Linked DNA regions of Cricetulus griseus. The protein of the gene in region 1 purifies or fractionates together with the protein of each later gene. This does not show direct contact. Links are inferred from orthologs where the notes say so. Each region holds a gene or a part of one and is shown on either strand. Other genes may lie near its edges. The genes, in order: Bcl7a, Pbrm1, Arid2, Phf10 and Dpf2.

What was found.
Region 2: the proteins of Bcl7a (region 1) and Pbrm1 purify together in Homo sapiens (affinity purification with mass spectrometry; 3 studies listed by BioGRID and IntAct, counting the BioPlex papers as one, with this or other methods). This does not show direct contact. The link is inferred for Cricetulus griseus from reciprocal best matches to the Homo sapiens genes BCL7A and PBRM1.
Region 3: the proteins of Bcl7a (region 1) and Arid2 purify together in Homo sapiens (affinity purification with mass spectrometry; 3 studies listed by BioGRID and IntAct, counting the BioPlex papers as one, with this or other methods). This does not show direct contact. The link is inferred for Cricetulus griseus from reciprocal best matches to the Homo sapiens genes BCL7A and ARID2.
Region 4: the proteins of Bcl7a (region 1) and Phf10 purify together in Homo sapiens (affinity purification with mass spectrometry; 3 studies listed by BioGRID and IntAct, counting the BioPlex papers as one, with this or other methods). This does not show direct contact. The link is inferred for Cricetulus griseus from reciprocal best matches to the Homo sapiens genes BCL7A and PHF10.
Region 5: the proteins of Bcl7a (region 1) and Dpf2 purify together in Homo sapiens (affinity purification with mass spectrometry; 3 studies listed by BioGRID and IntAct, counting the BioPlex papers as one, with this or other methods). This does not show direct contact. The link is inferred for Cricetulus griseus from reciprocal best matches to the Homo sapiens genes BCL7A and DPF2.

The regions. Positions count from the first base shown.
Region 1 is NC_048597.1:103,112,557-103,116,846, forward strand, and holds the start of Bcl7a (B-cell CLL/lymphoma 7 protein family member A), read left to right. Parts: upstream 1-1,478; 5' UTR 1,479-1,992; intron 1,993-2,019; exon of another isoform or gene 2,020-2,105; intron 2,106-2,219; exon of another isoform or gene 2,220-2,257; intron 2,258-2,263; exon of another isoform or gene 2,264-2,377; 5' UTR 2,378-2,381; coding exon 2,382-2,473; intron 2,474-4,290.
Region 2 is NW_023276807.1:188,682,582-188,686,768, reverse strand, and holds the start of Pbrm1 (protein polybromo-1), read left to right. Parts: upstream 1-1,384; 5' UTR 1,385-2,612; coding exon 2,613-2,615; intron 2,616-3,720; coding exon 3,721-3,873; intron 3,874-4,187. UniProt on the Homo sapiens protein: Involved in transcriptional activation and repression of select genes by chromatin remodeling (alteration of DNA-nucleosome topology). Required for the stability of the SWI/SNF chromatin remodeling complex SWI/SNF-B (PBAF).
Region 3 is NC_048595.1:392,839,593-392,841,867, reverse strand, and holds part of Arid2 (AT-rich interactive domain-containing protein 2), read right to left. Parts: intron 1,335-2,275; coding exon 1,193-1,334; 3' UTR 1-1,192. UniProt on the Homo sapiens protein: Involved in transcriptional activation and repression of select genes by chromatin remodeling (alteration of DNA-nucleosome topology). Required for the stability of the SWI/SNF chromatin remodeling complex SWI/SNF-B (PBAF).
Region 4 is NC_048595.1:294,005,798-294,010,003, reverse strand, and holds the start of Phf10 (PHD finger protein 10), read left to right. Parts: upstream 1-1,402; 5' UTR 1,403-1,449; coding exon 1,450-1,533; intron 1,534-3,351; coding exon 3,352-3,458; intron 3,459-4,206. UniProt on the Homo sapiens protein: Involved in transcription activity regulation by chromatin remodeling. Belongs to the neural progenitors-specific chromatin remodeling complex (npBAF complex) and is required for the proliferation of neural progenitors.
Region 5 is NC_048596.1:53,438,265-53,441,778, forward strand, and holds part of Dpf2 (zinc finger protein ubi-d4), read left to right. Parts: intron 1-376; coding exon 377-540; intron 541-1,343; coding exon 1,344-1,436; intron 1,437-1,570; coding exon 1,571-1,649; intron 1,650-3,143; coding exon 3,144-3,281; intron 3,282-3,514. UniProt on the Homo sapiens protein: Plays an active role in transcriptional regulation by binding modified histones H3 and H4. Is a negative regulator of myeloid differentiation of hematopoietic progenitor cells. Might also have a role in the development and maturation of lymphoid cells.

The DNA.
Region 1 (4,290 bases):
CCCCTGCCTAGTCTAGATAGCTCATGTAAGTGGGGTCATACAATCGTCTACCTTGTATACCCATACCTTCCCATTAGCATACTTTCAAGCATGTTTAGCAGTGTGGGTATTCCTTTTATTATTCATGGCTACATAATCCCACTGTGTATAAAGACATCCATTCATCAATTGGTATTTGTATTTAATTTTTTTTTTACATTTCAGTTTTTGGTTTTTTTTTGTTTGTTTGGTTTTTTTTTGTGTGTGTGTGTGTAAACATGTGGCAATCAGAACAACTTTCAGGAGTCAGTTCTCTCTTTCCACAATGTGGGTTCTGGGAATTGAACTCTTGTCTTCAGGCTTGACTGCAAATGTATGTATGTATATATGTATATAGTTTGTTTGAGACAGGATTTCTCTGTGTAACATGCTTTGGAGCATGTCCTGGAACTCCTTCTGTAGACTAGGCTGGCCTCAAACTCACAGAGATCTGCCTTCATCTGCCTCCCAAATGCTGGGGTTAAAAGTGTGTGCCACCATCACCTGGCTACAAGTGCATTTACTAAGCTGTCTTGCTGACCTGATGTGTGGATTTGTTTATGTCTTATTTTTAAAGTATATACATACATACATACATGTACATACACATGTACACACACACATTCTATGTGGGAACTATGGAACAGCACTTGTCTAGCACTAAACAAAAACTAATTCCCTCAGGCCCAAGCAGGGAATTGAACTGAGGGTCAAAATTATGAGACTTCTGATTTATGGCATATTTTCCAATCCAGCACTCAGAATGGTTCTCTAACATAATTGTTTTAGTTTTTTGTTTATTTTGCTTTTCAAGACAGGGTTTCTCTATTCTAGATCTCACTCTATAGGCCCAGATGGCCTCAAACTCACAGAGGCCCACCTGCCTGTGCCTTGAGTGCTGGGATTAAAGGGGTGCACCACCACAACCTGGGTGTTTGATTTTATTTATTTATTTATTTATTTATTTATTTATTTATTTAGAGACAGGGTCTCACTATTTAGTCCTGGCTAGCCTGGAATTCCTTACATAAGCCAGGCTGGCCTTGAACTCACGGAGATCTGCCAGCTTCTGCCTCCCAAGTGCTGGGATTAAAGGAGTAGGCCACCATGCCGGACTACTGTTCTTATTTTTATTTTTCACATTAGGGCCATGTGATTGAAATGGTAAAATGATGTGCTTGGGGGGAAAGCCCATACATTTTGTTCTCATTCTCCGCTAGCTCTCTCTACCAGACCCCAGCACCGTCCCCAAACTTTAGGGGGTAACACAATCAATGCCGTCACAGAAGAAGTTCATGGCTGCAACCTGGAATAACTCCTTTCCTCAGTTTCCCCACCTGTGAAATGACTTGAGTTGGGCTAGTTCTTCTCCAGGCACTGGTTTGCTCACATTAGGTCATCTCTTTTCCCAGCATCCACCTGGGCAAGCATTTGCTCTGGTCCAGTCGGTTTAGCCTCAGCTGCCTACCTATCTGTCCCTATCCTAATTGACCGCAGTAGATTCTGCCACCTAGTTCTGTCCTGGGATCGGGAACAGCCCCTCAAAAGTCTTTCTGAGTTGGACCAGTCCAGTTTACCAGCTGCTCCCGGTCAGTAAACTGCGCTTCCACCAGGAGCCGTTTAAGATTAATTTGTGGTCCTGTGACCTACGCCAGCGAGCTTTATCCCCGACTGGGACAATTTATCTCCAAGGAAAAGGAAGCCTTGCGACAATGCCTACAGCCACCGGCCTCTGGCACCTTAAACTGCGACCCTAGTTTGATCATGGTGAGGCAGACGTCCTAGCTCGCACATTTCAACAAGGCAGCTAGCTGGCCAGAAACCGGCACCTCAACTCTTTCCAAGATCACGAGTCCGGAACCACCGCCTCCAACTCTGAGAAGTCAAGCGCCCGACAAGTAACTTGCACGATCGCACCCGAGGCCACCAACCCAAGGCCAGGGCACCCACGGCCTCCTGTCTGCCATCCCCAGGGTGTGTGTCTTGGGGGGAGGGGTTCCCACCACATCCGCGGCCTCCGGGGGAGTCGGCGCGCGGGCCAGTCCCGCGTGCTGGGAGGTCGCGGTCATCCCTGATCGTTTCCCTGGGTGAGGTCCCCGAGGCTCCCCGGGGAGGGCGGCGGCGCCCGGAGGCCGCACTAGTGGCGGCCGCGCCGCTCCCCCTCGCTCTGTGCAGCTGCCGCCCGGCGCTTGCGCACTGGGCCCCGGGCGCGCGGCGGCACCAGGCTTTGTGTGTGCGCGTATGTGTGTGAGTGTGTGTCTGTGCGCGAGTGAGAGAGCGGGCGAGTGTGGCGAGCAGGACCCGGCGGGCGCGCTCCCCCAGCCTCTCTCTCTCTCCTCTCTCTCTCCCTCCCCGCCAGAACCATGTCGGGCAGGTCGGTTCGAGCCGAGACCAGGAGCCGGGCCAAAGATGATATCAAGAGGGTCATGGCGGCTATCGAGAAAGTGCGCAAATGGTAAGCCGAGGCGCCTGCTCGCTCTCTCGCTCGCCCCGGCTCGCTGCACCGCGCCACGGCCGCTGGCTAGCCCGGACCCAGCTCACGGAACCGCGGGGCGCAGCGGCCCCGGGCCCGGAGTTGGCGAGGACGCGCGGCCCGGGTCACCTGCGCCCCGCGGGGGCTGCGTCCGCTGCCCAGGTGTGCTTGGCGCGGGGTCGCCCACCTGGCGGCGGCGGCGGCGGCGGCGGCGACAGCGGCAGCGGCGGCGAAGGCGACGGCGGCTGCAACCCGGAGCTCGGAGCTCGGGAGAGGGGGGTTCGCGGCCGGCCCCAGAAGCCATTTCGTTTTTTTGTGCAAGTCACATGAAAGCGGCTTCCCGCGCGCCGGGGCCGTGATGCCGGCGGTGGCGGCGGGCAGAGCGCGAGCTCCATTGTGCGGCGCGGAGCGGGCCGCCGTCTCCTCCCGGGGCGGCGCGGCGCCGGTGTCCCCCCAAAACACACACACACACACACACACACATACACACACACACCCCACGCCCCGACCCGACCCGCCCGCAGCTCCCCGCCTCCCGGGCCTCGGCGCCCTCGAGTCTGCGGAGTTTGCAGAGCGCGAGCCGTTTAAATTTAGCGCTTTGGGCAGCCTGGAGCGAGGGCTCCGGGCGAGGAAGGAAGATGGGGGCGAGCGCTGGGAAGGCGGTGGCGCGGCTGGCGAGCGGGGCACCCGCGGCTCCCACCCGCTCCGCGCGGCACCCGGAGCTCGGGGGACGCGATGTTTGCTGCCAGAAGCCAAGTCCTGGGCCGTGTCTGCCTTCTCCGAGCTGGAGCTGGTGTTTGTTTTGCGGAGAGAGCGAGCGACCGTTGTTTTTGTTCTCTGCACTGGGGGAGGAGGAGGGGACCGCGAGATTCGGTGTGGGCCGTGCGTGTTTTTCAAGCTCAAATTAGATCGTGCCCGGCGTGGCCTCGTTATAATTAGCAGGATGGAACATTTTCACGGGCCTCGTCGGGATCTGACTCCCAGGAGGCCCTAGAGGCCAGGCCGGAGGCGCCAGTAGTCCACCTCCAGGTTGGGTCAGACTTGTTGAAAACTCCCTGCTCCCCAATTTCAACTTTATTATGTCTTTTTTTTTTTTTTTTTCTCACGGCTTCATCAGGGTCCGAGAGGGAGACGAGCAGCCGCGAGGGTGCCCCTAAGTGTCAGCGGCCGTGGGCTGGTCCCGTCCTTTATAGGAACTGGCCAGGCCCCGCTGCAGGCTGTTTCTTTGGGGGGTGTCATTTCTTGAGTAACGCCGCTGTTGTTATTGCCTTTAAAAAAAAAAAAAAAACACTACTCGGGGGCCTGTCTCAGGTCTGGTGGTGTCACAAGTTAGCTGTCCTTTCAGAGTGAAACCCAACAAAAAAAAGGCAAGGAGAAAAATCAATAAAGTCCACGTGCTCCCGGGCCTCCTATGGAAAGGGCTGTCTTCGGATGGCCGGATGCCTGCCGTGGGCTGGGTTTGGCTCCAGTGGGACAAAGAATTTTCACAACCGTGAGAAGGGGAGGCTTTCCAAAGTTGAGATCCAAGTCCTGGGTGCCGGGAGCTCCCCTGCTGAGCAAGGCGCCCAGTGCCCAACTGGAGCCATTTAAAAATGGCAGAAACAGCTGCAGGCCAAAACACAGAGGAAAACAACACAGTGCCCCCTCTCCTGTGGGACTCTCAAGGGAAGGCTGAGGTGCCCCCCCTCCCCTGCCTCAGTCCTGGTGCAAAGAAAGAACTGATATCAGGGCGTGAGTCACTTCTGTCTGTCACCCTCCTGGAGGGTAGAAAGGGGCCGGTGTAAGCTGCCTTTCTGGTC
Region 2 (4,187 bases), on another chromosome or scaffold:
GTATTTATTGTTCACTGGAAGCGTCCACAGGCATTGTAAGACTCTTGGATTTTTTACTGTAAATAAGGCCATCCTAACATCTAGAAGCAAACTCTAGAATTTTTTATTTTCTGCTTATAAATAAATAATGAAGTGATGCTTAGAGACTGTTTTTAAATAACACAAACTTTTGCTTTAAACATCTCACACATTTTCAGTACATTTATTTTGTTTCCAGCACTTTTATAGGATGGGGCTACAAAAATAAAGAGGACTCAGTTCTTGTGCCTAGGAAACTCAAGAAATTTCAAAGTATTTAATCTATGTCTTTTCTTCACTGTCAAAGGGTGTAGGTGCGCTTTACTGTTTTCTTTTTTTGTTTGTTTTGTTTTGAGATGACCTTGAACTTCTTATGCTTCTGCTTCCTCAGTGCTTGTATTACATGTGTACTCCACCATGCCCAATTCCATGTGGTGCTGGGGATTGAACATTGGGCCTCCCACCTGCTAAGCAACCGCTCTTCCGACTTAGCTATTTACCCGGTCCTTGTTTTTATTTAAAGATGAAGAAATAGATCTGAGAAGTTGTGATTTGGATAGTATCAAACTGTTAGAGGTGGAAGGTCTGGGACTCTTGAATGCAGATCCATTATTTCTTCCACACTGCATGTATACTTTGAATAAGAAATGTATACTTTGAATAAGAAAATTTGAAAACCATCCTTCCCATGCATCTTTTTCTTGTCTTTTGAAAGTGCATTAATGATTTAAGGATTTTGGCTATTATATCATCTAAAACTACAACATACTAAGTATTAATAATTTACATTTTTTGTCATTTGCTTTCCAGTGCATTATAAAAAGCAGTAATTTTGAACTAAAGTAATTGAAGACTTTGTAAAGCCCTGATAAACTTAAATGTTGTGTCTTTCCAGTGCAGATAGAACTTTTGGAAAGAAATGTTTTTCTCTGACTCTTGGGGGGAGGGAGGAAGAATTTGTAGAGTTTGCTCTCATGAGCCATTCTTGGTCTATTCCAGCTTGCCAACACTTGGGGTCACATGTGAGCCTCCCACATGTGTTCACTCTCCATCCCAGCTCTGTGATTGAACTCTGCTCTTATTGACTAGGGGGCACTTGGGCAGGCATGCTTCATTCCTGGAATTGACAGTCATTTCATGTGAGTAAAGGTGAAACTCAGTGAGACATTTCTAAGCATGTGAAAGCATTTGGTTTTTAAATGGAAGAAACTTGTCAGGTGCACCTGGGAACTGATATGTCTGTTTCTTTTTCTTTAGCAACTCTATTCGAATGTTACGTTTTCTGTCTGTTTGTACTCATTTATACTCTTATTTCCCCTTTCTCTGCCTTGTTCTTCTCTTTCAGTTCTGAATAAACTAACTGAATAAGCACTTAATAAAACCCTACCTTCTCTCACTGGCTTCATTTGGCCTTCAGACATAATGAGGAGATTGGCTTTTCGAGGCGCTGGTTGTGCTCTGGTAAAGCTGGTAAATTACTGATCATCTTCACCCTTTTCTCTTTCTGTCATTCTCTCCCTCTCCCTTCCAACCTTCTGAAGTTTTGTAATTCTTCCTATCTGAATCCCTCCTGTGTTTATCAGTGTTTCCAAGGATTAGTGCTTAATTTCATTAACTTGTGGAGTTGTGGCCAGGTGTCAGTCTTTTATAAAGTAAACAACAACAGAACCTGGGTATTTGGGGCCCAACTTTGTAAAAACTTTTAACCACTTTTAGTCAATTTCAAACTAATATTCTTGGTAACAAACCAAAGCCTACAGGATGGAACATGATCACTGTAGATTGTTTTAAACAGTATGTGGACTTTAGCTCAAAGCAACAGATAGGAGACCCTTTTGTTTTTTAATTGCTTAAGGGAGTTTTTTGTTTTGTTTTGTTCTTACTTTCTGTTTCCTGGAGGTCCCCAATTTTTCTCTCTGTAGTACTGGCACCCAGTGCTCTACTATTCTTTTTTGTTTAGCTGCTAGTGTCTGAATTTCCTGAAATCAAATGTTGAGTGAAACTGGGTCTGCTGTAACTTTTAGCTTTAGAAAAGTTCTTTGTAATTACAGTGCACCATTTGCTACTGCTGTTAAAGTATATAACCATTGTAGGACTTCCTGGGTCTATACCCTTTAACTGTAGTAAGTTATTCCAGTGGTTGCATTTCTTACATTATAGCCAAATGTGTATATTGTAAAGTTATGTTAAGAATAGTTTCTTTTCTTTTTTTATTTGAGACACTATGTAGCCCTAGCTGGCCTACAACTCAATATCCAAGGCTGGCCTTGAGCTCACAGAGATCTGTCGGCTTCTACCTTGCTTCTCAAGTGCTGGGATTAAAGGCATGCACCACCATGCCCAGCAAAGAATAGCGTCTTATGAGGGCTAGGGAGATATCTTAGTGGGTAAAGTACAAACGTGAGGACCTGCATTTAGATCCCTAGCACATACCTAAAAGTCATGTGTGGTGGTAGTGTCCATAGCCCCTCACTGGAGGGGCAGAGACAGGTAGGTCTCAGGCACTCACTGATCAGGCATTCTCCAAGTTTAATGAACAGCACTTTTTCAAAGAAAAATGGACAGTGTTAAAGGAAGACATCTGATATTAACCTATGGTGAGTGCACACACACCCATTTCTCATTTTTTCTGGATTAGAGATGGCTTTCTTATCATGTGTGAGGCCTACATTAAGTCCCTAGTACTGCAAAGAACAGTAAGAAATACCAAAAGCCAGCTAACAAAAACCATTGTCAGCCTAAAGCCAAGAGCAAATGTTTATGTGCTTTCCAAATGTCCACACAGTAGCTAAGAGCCCATATATATAACATGTTCTTCTAGATCATCTAGTGAAGCTTAAAACTGTTTTCACAGTCTGTGAGTATAGTGTACATTGGGACAGAGCACAAATTGCTAGTTCTCTCCAGATATAGCAAAAATTACATTCACAGGGGTATTTTTTTCCTCCATTTTTAAATTTAAATTAGAAACAAGATTGTTTTACATGTCATACCCAGTTCCCTCTCCCTCCCCATCACAGGGGTATTTTTTATGAATTCTGCTTTAAGTGGAGAATTCATTTCTAGGATACTTGTACAGTGCTGGAAAGTTTACTGCTTCACCCCCTTTTGCATCACCCCGTTTGACTGGCCTTAGGTACTGCTTCTTAGTTTTGTTTTCCACACTATGGCCCACTTAGGTAATGGGTATAATTATAAGAAATACAGGGGACTGGAGAGATGGCTCAGTGGTTAAGAATGCTGGCTGCTCTTCCTGAGGATCTAGGTTAATTTCCCAGCACCTTCTTGGCAGCTCACAACCAGTTGCACATCTGATGGCCTCTGGCATCAGGCACACATGTGATACACAGATACATAACACACATATACATCAAAAATAAAAAAAGGAAAATAAAAAAAAAGGAAGCCCCATTCCAGGAAATCTGGGGCAAAAAGTGGTTGAGTAATTTAGAATTATTGACATATAAATGTGTATACTTACGCCAAATTTGTCCTATCAGAGTTTGATAATGTAGCACTCTGATAATTAAAAGGCTAATTGCATTGAAGTCCAGGACTTAGCAAAAGAATGTAGAGCTAGTTAAATCCCTCTGGAATAAACTATCTTAAATGAACCAGAAGTTTCATGGTATATACCTAGCTGAGAGTTTGTTGACATTGTTGAAGATTAAACATAAGCACTTGGCTAATTGTTTCTTGTAGAAGAAGTTGGATTCCATGGGTTCCAAGAGAAGAAGAGCTACCTCCCCTTCCAGCAGTGTCAGTGGAGACTTTGACGATGGGCACCATTCTGTGCCTACACCAGGCCCAAGCAGGAAAAGGAGAAGACTGTCTAATCTTCCAACTGTGGATCCTGTGAGTAACTAAGGCTTCGTGGTTTCTGCCATTTCCCATGGTTTGCCTATACTTCCTTCTTTGAAGCAGTTGAGCTGCATAGCTTTCTTTTCCATTTGGTTTATTTCTCTTATGAAAAGTATACTTAGTCACAAGTCTTCTTTTTTAATTTTTTTTTTGTTTTATAGAAACAAGCTTCTTTTACATGTCAATCCCAGTTCCCTCTCCCTCCCTTCACTTCCCCCCTCCCAATCCCAACCCCTTCCAAGAGGGGGGTCTTCAAAGTCTGTCATATCATTAGGAGCAGGGCCTAGGCCCTCCCCCATGTGTCTAGG
Region 3 (2,275 bases), on another chromosome or scaffold:
TATCATACCTGCACATAATGCATATATAACACAGGAGAAAACCTGTATAAAATTCCATGTATTTAAACCAATTTACAAATACAAAAATTTTGTACAAGCTTTGAGCTTGCACATGACAAACGCTTACAGTGGATACATGTTAGGGGAAACAAAAAAGAAAAGAAAAAAAAAAAAGAAAAAACCCTTCAAATAGTTTGTCTTCTACAAAAATGACATGAGATATATTATTCCATACTCTTTCAGCCAGCAAAATGAGTCCTACAAGGTGTATAATACAAAAAAACCCAAAAGGGGGAAAAAATCCAAGAAAACCAAAAAAGAAAAGAAAAAAAAAATCACAGTTCCACAAAACTGTTTTGACTTTACAGCATCAGTACCTTTGCAGAAGTATTTACACAAATTTAAAGAACATTCATCCACTGCGTAGAATATATCACAATTACTTACAGTTGACAGGAAAGTCTAGAAAACGTCAGAGCCTACCAATAATGCTTCTAGGACACCACAGAATGTATTTCCAGTGGCTGCAGTGGTATGAAGGGTGTTCATTCTATTCACAAATATTTACAACATCTATTCAGACTGGTAAATTTTTATGATAATAAATAAGTGAAAATATATTGGCTCAAGTAAGAAAACCAAGCTACTGACTCTAACAAAACACACAATCCACAGCTAGATATCGGTGGCCCCTCTGAAGCTGGGGGTAGGTGTGCTCAAACTTTGTCTTTATTCAAACCAGCTTAAATGGTTTTGTAAATATAAAAATGTGCTCCTTTTTGGATATAGATAAAAATATTTAATGCTTCTATTTCATCTGCTCACGTAGGTTTTACACTATTCCATGTATATTCCAATGTGGATGGTACTGAATTCTGATCACACCAGTCTCCACCAGGATTGGCCAGACCCGAGACATCCTGCAGATAAGCTGGTTGACAATCCCACAGTAGTTTGTTGTTTTTTGTTTTTTTGTTTTTTTTTTTTTCCTTTTTAGATTTTTTTTTTTTAACAGAAAAGAAAGGGATTCGTTCAGAGATCAGAATACAAAGCTTCCTCTCGGCATCATGGGACGACACAAAATAATTCATTCTATGGTCTCTGCTCCATTAAGACTTGGTGCTTTCTTCAGTAACAGTATGTGAAATGTATCTGACTTTGAGTCCCCGCTGTGTAAGTGGTATAGGATTCACTACAGCATTTCCGAGTCTTTTTCTTGTTCTTTACTCTGAACTGTAAAATTAAGTTCATAAAGGCATTTGGCAAGGGTGGAGGAAGCTTCCATGTTACTAATGGCTAGTACTGATAAGTTGTTTTCATGTCTCTTTAACAATCTAGAAAACAAAACAAAATACAAAACAAAAACAGATTGTTAGTCTCCAGGATCATAGTTAAGATTCCTTATCACAGATTCTATAACTAAAATAGAAACATCATATAGTCCCATATGCAGCTAGTGTCCCATATGCAGCTTTGTAGAAAGAGGAGCAGCCAGCTAGCCATCAGTTAGTGCAATTTCCTGGTGAGTAAACAAAGGCCAGTTTCTGGGCCCCTGAAATCAACTGTCTTTTTTGCAGCATGGCAGGGTTTGTATTCACAGAAAGTTACACAGCCTATTTCTGTATCTTCATTCAGGGTTTTAGAAATTTCACAAGTCAGAAAATTGCTGGCAAGGAACAAAAACATTTATGAAATTGAAAATTTCTATCACAAAGGTCACAGTATTGATGTGGCTATGAATACAAAGAGACAGTGGGAGCATCACTTGGGAAAACAGCCTTGGGCTGTGTACTGAGTCAGCTGGGAATGGAAGACTAAACAGATGGGAGGAGACTAAGGCAAGCACACTAACTCAATGCTATATGATGTTCACTGTACAGTTATTTCAAGTTGGGCTTCACTGTGAAAGCTTTCACTTTAAACATCTGAGAAATAAGTCACACAGCAATAAATGGCCCAAGAACTTCACTATTTTCATTAAAATAATCCTGGGGAAGAGAAAGCAGAAAAGGGGCTGGAGAGATGACTCAGTGGTTAAGAGCCTGCTCCTGCCAAGGACCCGTGCTTGGTTCCAGCATCCATACCAGGTGGCTCAGGTTTCTGTAACTGCAGTACTATGGTCTGACACCTTCTGACTGCTGTGGGCAGTGCACACATGTGGTGTACATCCTCAGATGTAGGAAAAATGCAGAAAATAAAATAAGTATATCATAGAAAAAGAACAAAACCAGTAGGAAAAAAGGGTTAAGACATTCCTAAAATTGTAATAATGCTG
Region 4 (4,206 bases), on another chromosome or scaffold:
TGCACTCCTCATCCGCGCACACACACCTTCCCCTTTCATAGAAAACAGGATCTCTTATTGGCCCAAGACTTGTTGCTTAGCCTGTTTCTACTTTTTCACCTCACCAGCATTGGATTACAAGTGTGCCACCATCATGCCTAATTTTTTTTTTTTTTTTTTTAATGTTCTGGGGATTGGACACAGGTCCTTGTGTTCACTTTACTACCTCTCCATCCTTTAAATTCTATTTTAAGGAAGTTATTCTCATGCAGTCCTTTTCTATTATAGCTACCCCAATTTAATTTTTTTTTTTTGGCCCTTTTTACTACTTATAGCTCTCTCCATTGATGAAATTTCATTTTATGGCCCACTGGTATAGTCAATTCTCTAGAAACATCCCAGATTTCATGGCTTAGTCCAAGAGCTAATATCCTGTCCAAATACCATGGCTCCCATTTCCAGGGCCCCCGGATCCTGTGTCCTGCAGGTGCTCAGGGGCTCTGCCAGTCATATGGTCTTGGGGACCCTCCCCCTCCACATTCTCTCGGACTGTCTGGGTCCTGCTTGGCTAAAGCTGCTCTGACTCTTCGCACGTGGTCCAGAGGGCCACCTTCCCAAGGTCGCAGCAGAGGCAGAAGCGAGACAAAGGCGCTGAGGGTGCCTTGGGGACCCCGGGATGTGCAGAGTGAAGATGGAACGGTGGGGTGAAGAGGGGCAAGGACACAGGGTGGGGAAAGAACACTGCAGGAAAGATGAGGGAGGGAGTGGGGAGACCTGGGGGAGAAGGGAAGGGCCCGGCGTGTATGGGGACCCCCGGCTGAGGGGTGGGTCTGGGGACATGGGGTGTGTGTGAGTGTTGGGGAGGGGGGAGGGAGGACACCGTGTGGCGGGGGCTCCTTTCGAAGGGGAGGAGCCGCGGATCCAGGTGGGGTAGGGGAAGGCCTCCGGCGGGCTGGGGACCCCCGGCTGACGCGCGGCGGAGGAGGGGAGGGGGCGGGCGGCGGGCGGGGCGGGCGGAGCCGCGGCTGACGACGCGGAGGGCCGGGCGGGCTGGGGGCGCAGGGAAGGGGCGGCGGCGCGGCGGCGGCGGCGGCGAGCTCGCCAGGCGGCCGGGAAGCCGGGCGAGGCTGGGGCCGGGTCGTCGGCGGCGGGCGGTCGGGCTGCGGGGCTCAGGCCGGGCGCGGCGCGGCGCTGCAAGCCGGCGGGTCCCGGCAGAGGCCGGCGGAGCGGCGCAGCTGCGGCGGCTGACGTGAGCGGCGTGCGGGCGAGCGGACGGGCGGGCGAGCGGGCGGCGGCGCGCTGCGGCTATGGCGGTGGCGCTGGCGGGCCGCGGGGCGCGCGGCGGCAGGGGCGGCCCCGGGCGGGCGGGCGGAGGGGCGGGGCCGGGCGCGGGCGGCCGGCGGCGGGCGGCGGCGGCGCAGGCGGCGGCGGCGCGGCGGCGGCGGCGGCGGGCGCGGGGCGCTGGGGCTGATGGCAGCGGCCGGGCCCGGGGCGGCGCTGTCCCCGCGGCGGTGCGACAGCGACCCGGCCTCCCCCGGAGCGCAGTCCCCGAAGGTGAGCGAGCAGACCGCGCTGCCCAACGGCGGCGGCGAAGCCGGGCCGGGCCTGGGCGGGGAGCGGAGCACCGCGGGGAGCGGGCGGCAGGTCGGGGAGCAACAAGTGCGGCCGACGAGGGTCGCGGACCGAGGCTCGCAGGCTCCCCCGCAGCTGGGGAGCTCGGAAAAGTTGCGGCCTTCGGGGATCGCAGTCAGGACGCCGCTCGGCGGGACCTGCCCCGGGGACCCCAGCCGGCCGCGTGCCCCGGTCCTCCTGCTCGGTGCTCCTCTCGCCGGTAGCCCGGCCGGCCTCAGTCTCGGACCGCGCGGGGCTCGCCCCGAGGACCGGGCAGCCGAGAGGGCCCGTAACGAAAGCAGACCTCGGGCTTCCCACCTCTTGCTCCTAAACTTCTTGGTGTCAACTTCCGTTTCTGTTTCTTTTCAAGTGAATTATTGTTTTTAACTGAAGGAAGTTGTAGACATCAAAAAAAAAAAAAAAAGAAGGTCGTTAAAATGTTTACACAGAAAATAGGTACTTTCAGTGTTCAAAATGAACTGTCCAAAGTATGGAATCCGAGTACTATAAAAAGGATGAATTTTAAGGAAAATAGTCTTTTCCCAACTTATCCCCGATTGTTAGTGTTACAGGGAGTTTTCAGTCTGTGTAATTAGCTTCATTTTTGATGAGTGAAAAGGAGAATATGTATGTTTTTCTATTTGGAAAATAATTTTAGTAAGTTCCTAGGTGCTAGAGTCGAAATGTAAAATCCTACCCCTTATCTTAACGTTAATAGGTATCAAACAGTTACATGCTAGTCCCTGCTGTTAGTGAAGTCTGTTTATTCCCTTACTTAATCCTTGCATCAGCCACCTGACTTCAGAGGCAGAGGGGCTTTAACACAGGGCTGGTGGAGGGAGGGAGGGCAGTTCCCTGTGAGACTCCAGGCAGCCCACTGTGTGCCTCTTCATTCTCTTTAGAAGGTTTTTTATTCTAATACATAGTAAGAGTGGTAGTGTTAGGAGCTACATTACCTTGATTTACAAAAAATATGACTTTTAAGTGGCTAGACTTGCAGTCGTCTGTCCCATTTACATTGCTCAAAATGTAATCTGGAGCCTGAGCCTAAAACACACAAGGATGATAGCATGTGTGGAATATTTGTTCTGGGCTGGCTCCTCTTTGAGCATCAGCCAGAGACAGAGGCATGCTATCATTAAAGAGATTTTTTTTTTCTTTAAAAAAATGACTCAAGTAATATGTTAATAAAGTGTTTTAAAAGCATTTGATTACTCGTTTCATTAATGGAATAGCTGAACAACATATATATCCTGGATGAGCTGAGTTTCTTTTCTGCAGTGTAACAAAGAAAATGTGCTTAGATTTGCCAACCTGTGTTCAGTCCTTGTCTCCACAGTAGCTAATTAGAATTACACTCTTGTGGGCCAGTTGTAAGTTGGAGGATCCTATAACATTTATTGATTTTTTTTTTCCCAGTTCAAATAGGAAGTCCTGCTTTAATTTTAGAGTGGCTTCTACCCACCCAGTTGCTAAGAAAGGGAAGGTAGAATATATTTTAAAAATCATAGCTGAAATTTTTATTTTGTTTGAATTGAAGGTCCATTTTTAGTTTTATTCTGCTTCTTGCTTGTAACAAATTCTTTGCCCTGACAATTATTGTAGGAAATTAGTTTTCTAAATACATTAGTTAGAAATATGCTTTCTCTTGTGGAGTCTTAGGCAAACTGCAAAGATACACAATCATTCTTTGTTGTTGTGTTTTTCTTTAAATCATTCTTTTATTTTCTATTATTATTTTTCAATCATTTAAATGTACAGGATGATAATGAAGATAACTCAAATGATGGGACCCATCCATCTAAAAGGAGGCGAATGGGCTCAGGGGACAGCTCGAGAAGCTGCGAGACTTCAAGTCAGGATCTCAGGTACTACTACTTGAAGGGTCAGTAGTAGCTTTTGTAGACCATTTGGCCTCTTCTTCCCTAGGCATCAGGAGCAGTTATTAAAAATTATATTTATGGGCTGGAGAGATGGTTCAGCAGTTAAGAGTGCTGGATGCCCTTTCAGAGGACCTGAGTTTGGTTACTGGTACCTACATGGCTGCTCACATTGGCCTGTGAGCTCTAGAGGGTCTGATGTCCCATTCTGCCCTCCACAGATGTGTGTACACACACATTCACACAAAGCAAAAAATAAACAAAAACACATTCTAAGAAGAAAAAAAAAGCCATATAATATAATACCTAAGTAGGTCTTGTTCCTGAGCTGTTAAGAAGTTATGGTAAATTAGGTATGTAAGACTCACTGTTGTAGCACTTTCAAGTGTACAGTTAAGTGGTGTTAATTGCATTCACAGTGTTGTGCAACTATCACTATCATCCCTTTCCAAAACTTCAGTAACTCAAACGGCATAACCCTCCAGTACCTTCTATCCCTCCTGCCTCTAGCTGCTGGCCACTACAATTCTGCTCCCTGCCCCTGAGTGTGAACCCTACAGTACTTGCCCTGTGGTATCTGACTTATCCGTTAGCATAATGTCTACAGGGTTCATCTGTGATGGAGTTCATGTCAAAATTTCCTTCAGTCTGAACAATATCCCACTTTGTTTATTCATCTGTAGGCTGGGGTAATTAATGTGAACATTGGCATTCCTAATCCCTGCTTTTAATACCT
Region 5 (3,514 bases), on another chromosome or scaffold:
CACGTATTCATACACCACACAGATGTATACAACACACATATGCACAATAATCATGAGTAAATAAATAATCCAAGTAAGGTGCCCACTTCCTAAGCAGGGCCATGGTCTATTACATGGCAAGAAGCTTGCTTATCACCTGCTATTCCCAGGCTCTGTGTTAGCTCTTGCACATACTAAATTAAATGAGGTATGATAACATCCTTCAAAGAACTCACTGTGTTAGGGAAACAGGTAAATAGCTATATTCCAGTGCTGGCTGAACCAAGATATCTTGGTTCCTGTAGAACAGAAGTTAGTGGCTGACTTTGACTTGGCCCCAGATGTCGTAGGCTCATCTTCAGCCCTTCTGAGTTTGCTTTATTCTGATTCTTTCCAGACACAGACCAGACCCTGAAGAAAGAGGGGCTTATATCTCAGGATGGCAGCAGTTTAGAGGCTCTACTGCGTACTGACCCTCTGGAGAAACGAGGTGCTCCAGATCCCCGTGTTGATGATGACAGCCTGGGCGAGTTTCCTGTCACCAACAGTCGAGCACGGAAGGTATGTTATCCCTATGGCTAGAGGACTTTAATAAGGACCAGCCTCTTCCTTATGGATGGGAAGGGTGCACCCAGTTAGCAGAACTGACCAAGATTGGTGTGTGAGCCTTAGCACAAAAAAGAAAAACAGCCAAAACAGAAGCTGAGGCTGCCCTGCAATCCTGTGGCTCTACTGGCCACCGGCTCTGCTGCTGTCCCATCTTTCACACTCCTTGCTGTCTTCTCAGTACAGGCTAACTCATTCGTTCTCTTTCACACAAGGATTTTGTTAGAAACTTTAGGTGCCTGGTGTTACATAGGTGAAGCACACCTGGTTTACACCTATCAACTGGAAAGTTAATGCTAAGTTTAAAGATGAGAAGAGCTACAGATAAGCCAGGTACTGTGCTAAGTGTTTTTCCATATGCTTCCTCCTGTACAACCTTATGAGGTAGGTCCTGTGGTTCCCATTTCACTGACAGGGAGGCAGAAGCAAAGTAGTTAGAACTTCCCTCAAGGTCACACAAGTAAGCAGCAAAACTCATTTAAACTAGGACATGAGTTTTGGAAGCAGAACGAGCAGGACTGGGCATGGCTGCCTGGGATACTAGGGAAAGCTTTATGGAAACAGAGAGATGGGGGAAAGCAACTTGAAGAAGCTCAGAGGAAAGGAAGCAGAAATGGGATTGTAGGGTGAAGAATGATTATAGGTAGGGATAACCCCCAGAGAAGCTTCTGGGTAATTCCATGTGGCTAATTCTACATCGTGAGGGAGCTTTTGGATGTGCTTGACTTGTGCTCATTCAAATCTTCTGGTCCACTCAGCGGATCCTTGAACCTGATGACTTCCTAGATGATCTTGATGATGAAGACTATGAAGAAGATACTCCAAAACGTCGGGGAAAGGGGAAATCCAAGGTAAGGAGCCAGTATGCTTCCTGAAGGATGTAGCAGGCTGGTCCAGGAAGGCCAGGCTTTATTTCTTGTAGTTGCCTTGCTCTTCTGGCATAGACACCTTAGTAATGGCATCATCTTTTTGCTGTTCTTGGCAGAGTAAGGGTGTGAGCAGTGCCCGGAAGAAACTGGATGCTTCCATCCTGGAGGACCGTGATAAGCCCTATGCCTGTGACAGTGAGTGCCCCCTAAGGGGTGGGTAGTTCTTGTCTTGGACCCCGCTCCTGCTCTGGATGTTAGAGTAAGGGGATCATGTTCTTGCACTGAGTGGTAAAAATAAGCCTGGGTTCTTATTCTACCTGCCCACCTCTGAGAAGCCCTGGCCTTTGCTTCATAGTGGGTGGGACCTGCATGCTGTGGGAGAGATTTCTGTGGTTCCTGGGGTGGGAGGATGAGAGAACTCAACAGAGGCAGGGTTGGCCTCATCGTGGGCAGCACCCAGACCTGCTGACCCATTAAGGCAGGGCACAGGGGGCCAGCCCTGAGGGTCAGTGTCTGTCCTCTTTCCCTTTGCTTTGGCTCACCCTACTTCCGTGCCTCCAGCCTGTAGCACCGCTGCTGGGGTTCTCTCTCACTTGCTCTTGTTTTCCTGCTGTTGCTGCCCTGTCTCAAATGTACCAAGGCCTTCTTCTCATGACTTTTCTTTCTGTCTTTCAGATAGTTTCAAACAAAAGCATACCTCGAAAGCGCCCCAGAGAGGTAGCTCTCTCAACTTTTCAGACTTGTGGTTTTCCTGTCCCTTTTCCCTCTTCCCTTGTTCCTCCTGCCTTTCTCATTTCCTGTGATGCTAGCTTTGGAATCTCTGCAATGGTATGGTGGTAGTGCTGTGGAGCCCCAATTGTGCTCCACTCTCAGAGTCCTAGCAGCTGTCTTTACCGTTGCTTGTCTCCCATAGTCTTACTTGGCCTAGTATGTGGGATAGCTTCAAAGTCTTAACAGGAACCCATTATGAATAGATTCATCTGATGCTCCCCAAAAAAGACATCAGGTGGTCAGCTAATATTCCCACTATCATGCCACCACCCACTACCATCCTCCTCACAATTCCTTCCTGCTGGCCCCCTTGCCCCTCTTGGTGTCATCACTCAAGATGCCATCTTTCCTTGCTTGTTGGCAGGGGCTGGGCAGGACTCTAGTATGGGAATGTACCTCAAATTCTTTGGGAACAGTTATTCTGGCTGCTCAGTTGATAGGTGTTCCCTAAGAAACCCACCCTTTGCCCTTTGCCTATTCAATTGGGATTGGCTGCGTGGTATACATGGGGTGGAATGAGCATGCCACATTTACATAGCAGAAAAAGTCTGACGTCTCCGTATTACCTTTCCCCCTTTGCCATAAGGCAAGACCATAGAACTTTCCTGACCTGGAACTCCCAGACAGTTGCTATTCCCAGGGCTAGTTGTTGCATCCTGGGCTGAGTCCTTCCAAAAGCCAATGTAGAAAAATGTTAGTAGGTGTGGGGTTGGGTTTTAGAGAGGGGAGAGAATCCTAGAAACTGAAGAGATCCAGGGCCTGATGTTCTTGGATAAGGGACAGGGGCCATCACTAAGGTTTGTCCCAGATTAGAAATGCTGGGGACATAAGTATTTTCCATGATGCTTTACAGCTTGTCAGACTGGGTGAGTAGCACCTTCGTGTCCTAACATTTCTCTGCAATCTTCTTCCACCCAGTTTGTGGAAAACGCTACAAGAATCGACCTGGCCTCAGTTACCACTATGCCCATTCCCACCTGGCTGAGGAGGAGGGAGAGGACAAAGAAGACTCTCAACCACCTACTCCTGTTTCCCAGAGGTCTGAGGAGCAGAAATGTAAGCTGAGGTGTCAGGATGAGCAAACAGGAGAGGAGCCAGCCTGGTTATAAAAACCCTCTTTGGGGAGGAGCTTGATTCTGCCCCAACTTAATGTACCAAACTATGTTGAGTCCAAATGAGAGCCCTTACCTGTTGGGGGTGGGGAGTGGGCTGGGAGGGGAGGCGAGGGGAGCAGGAGGAGGGAGGGGAGGAAGAACTTTGGTTGGAATGTAAAATGAAATTTAAAAAAA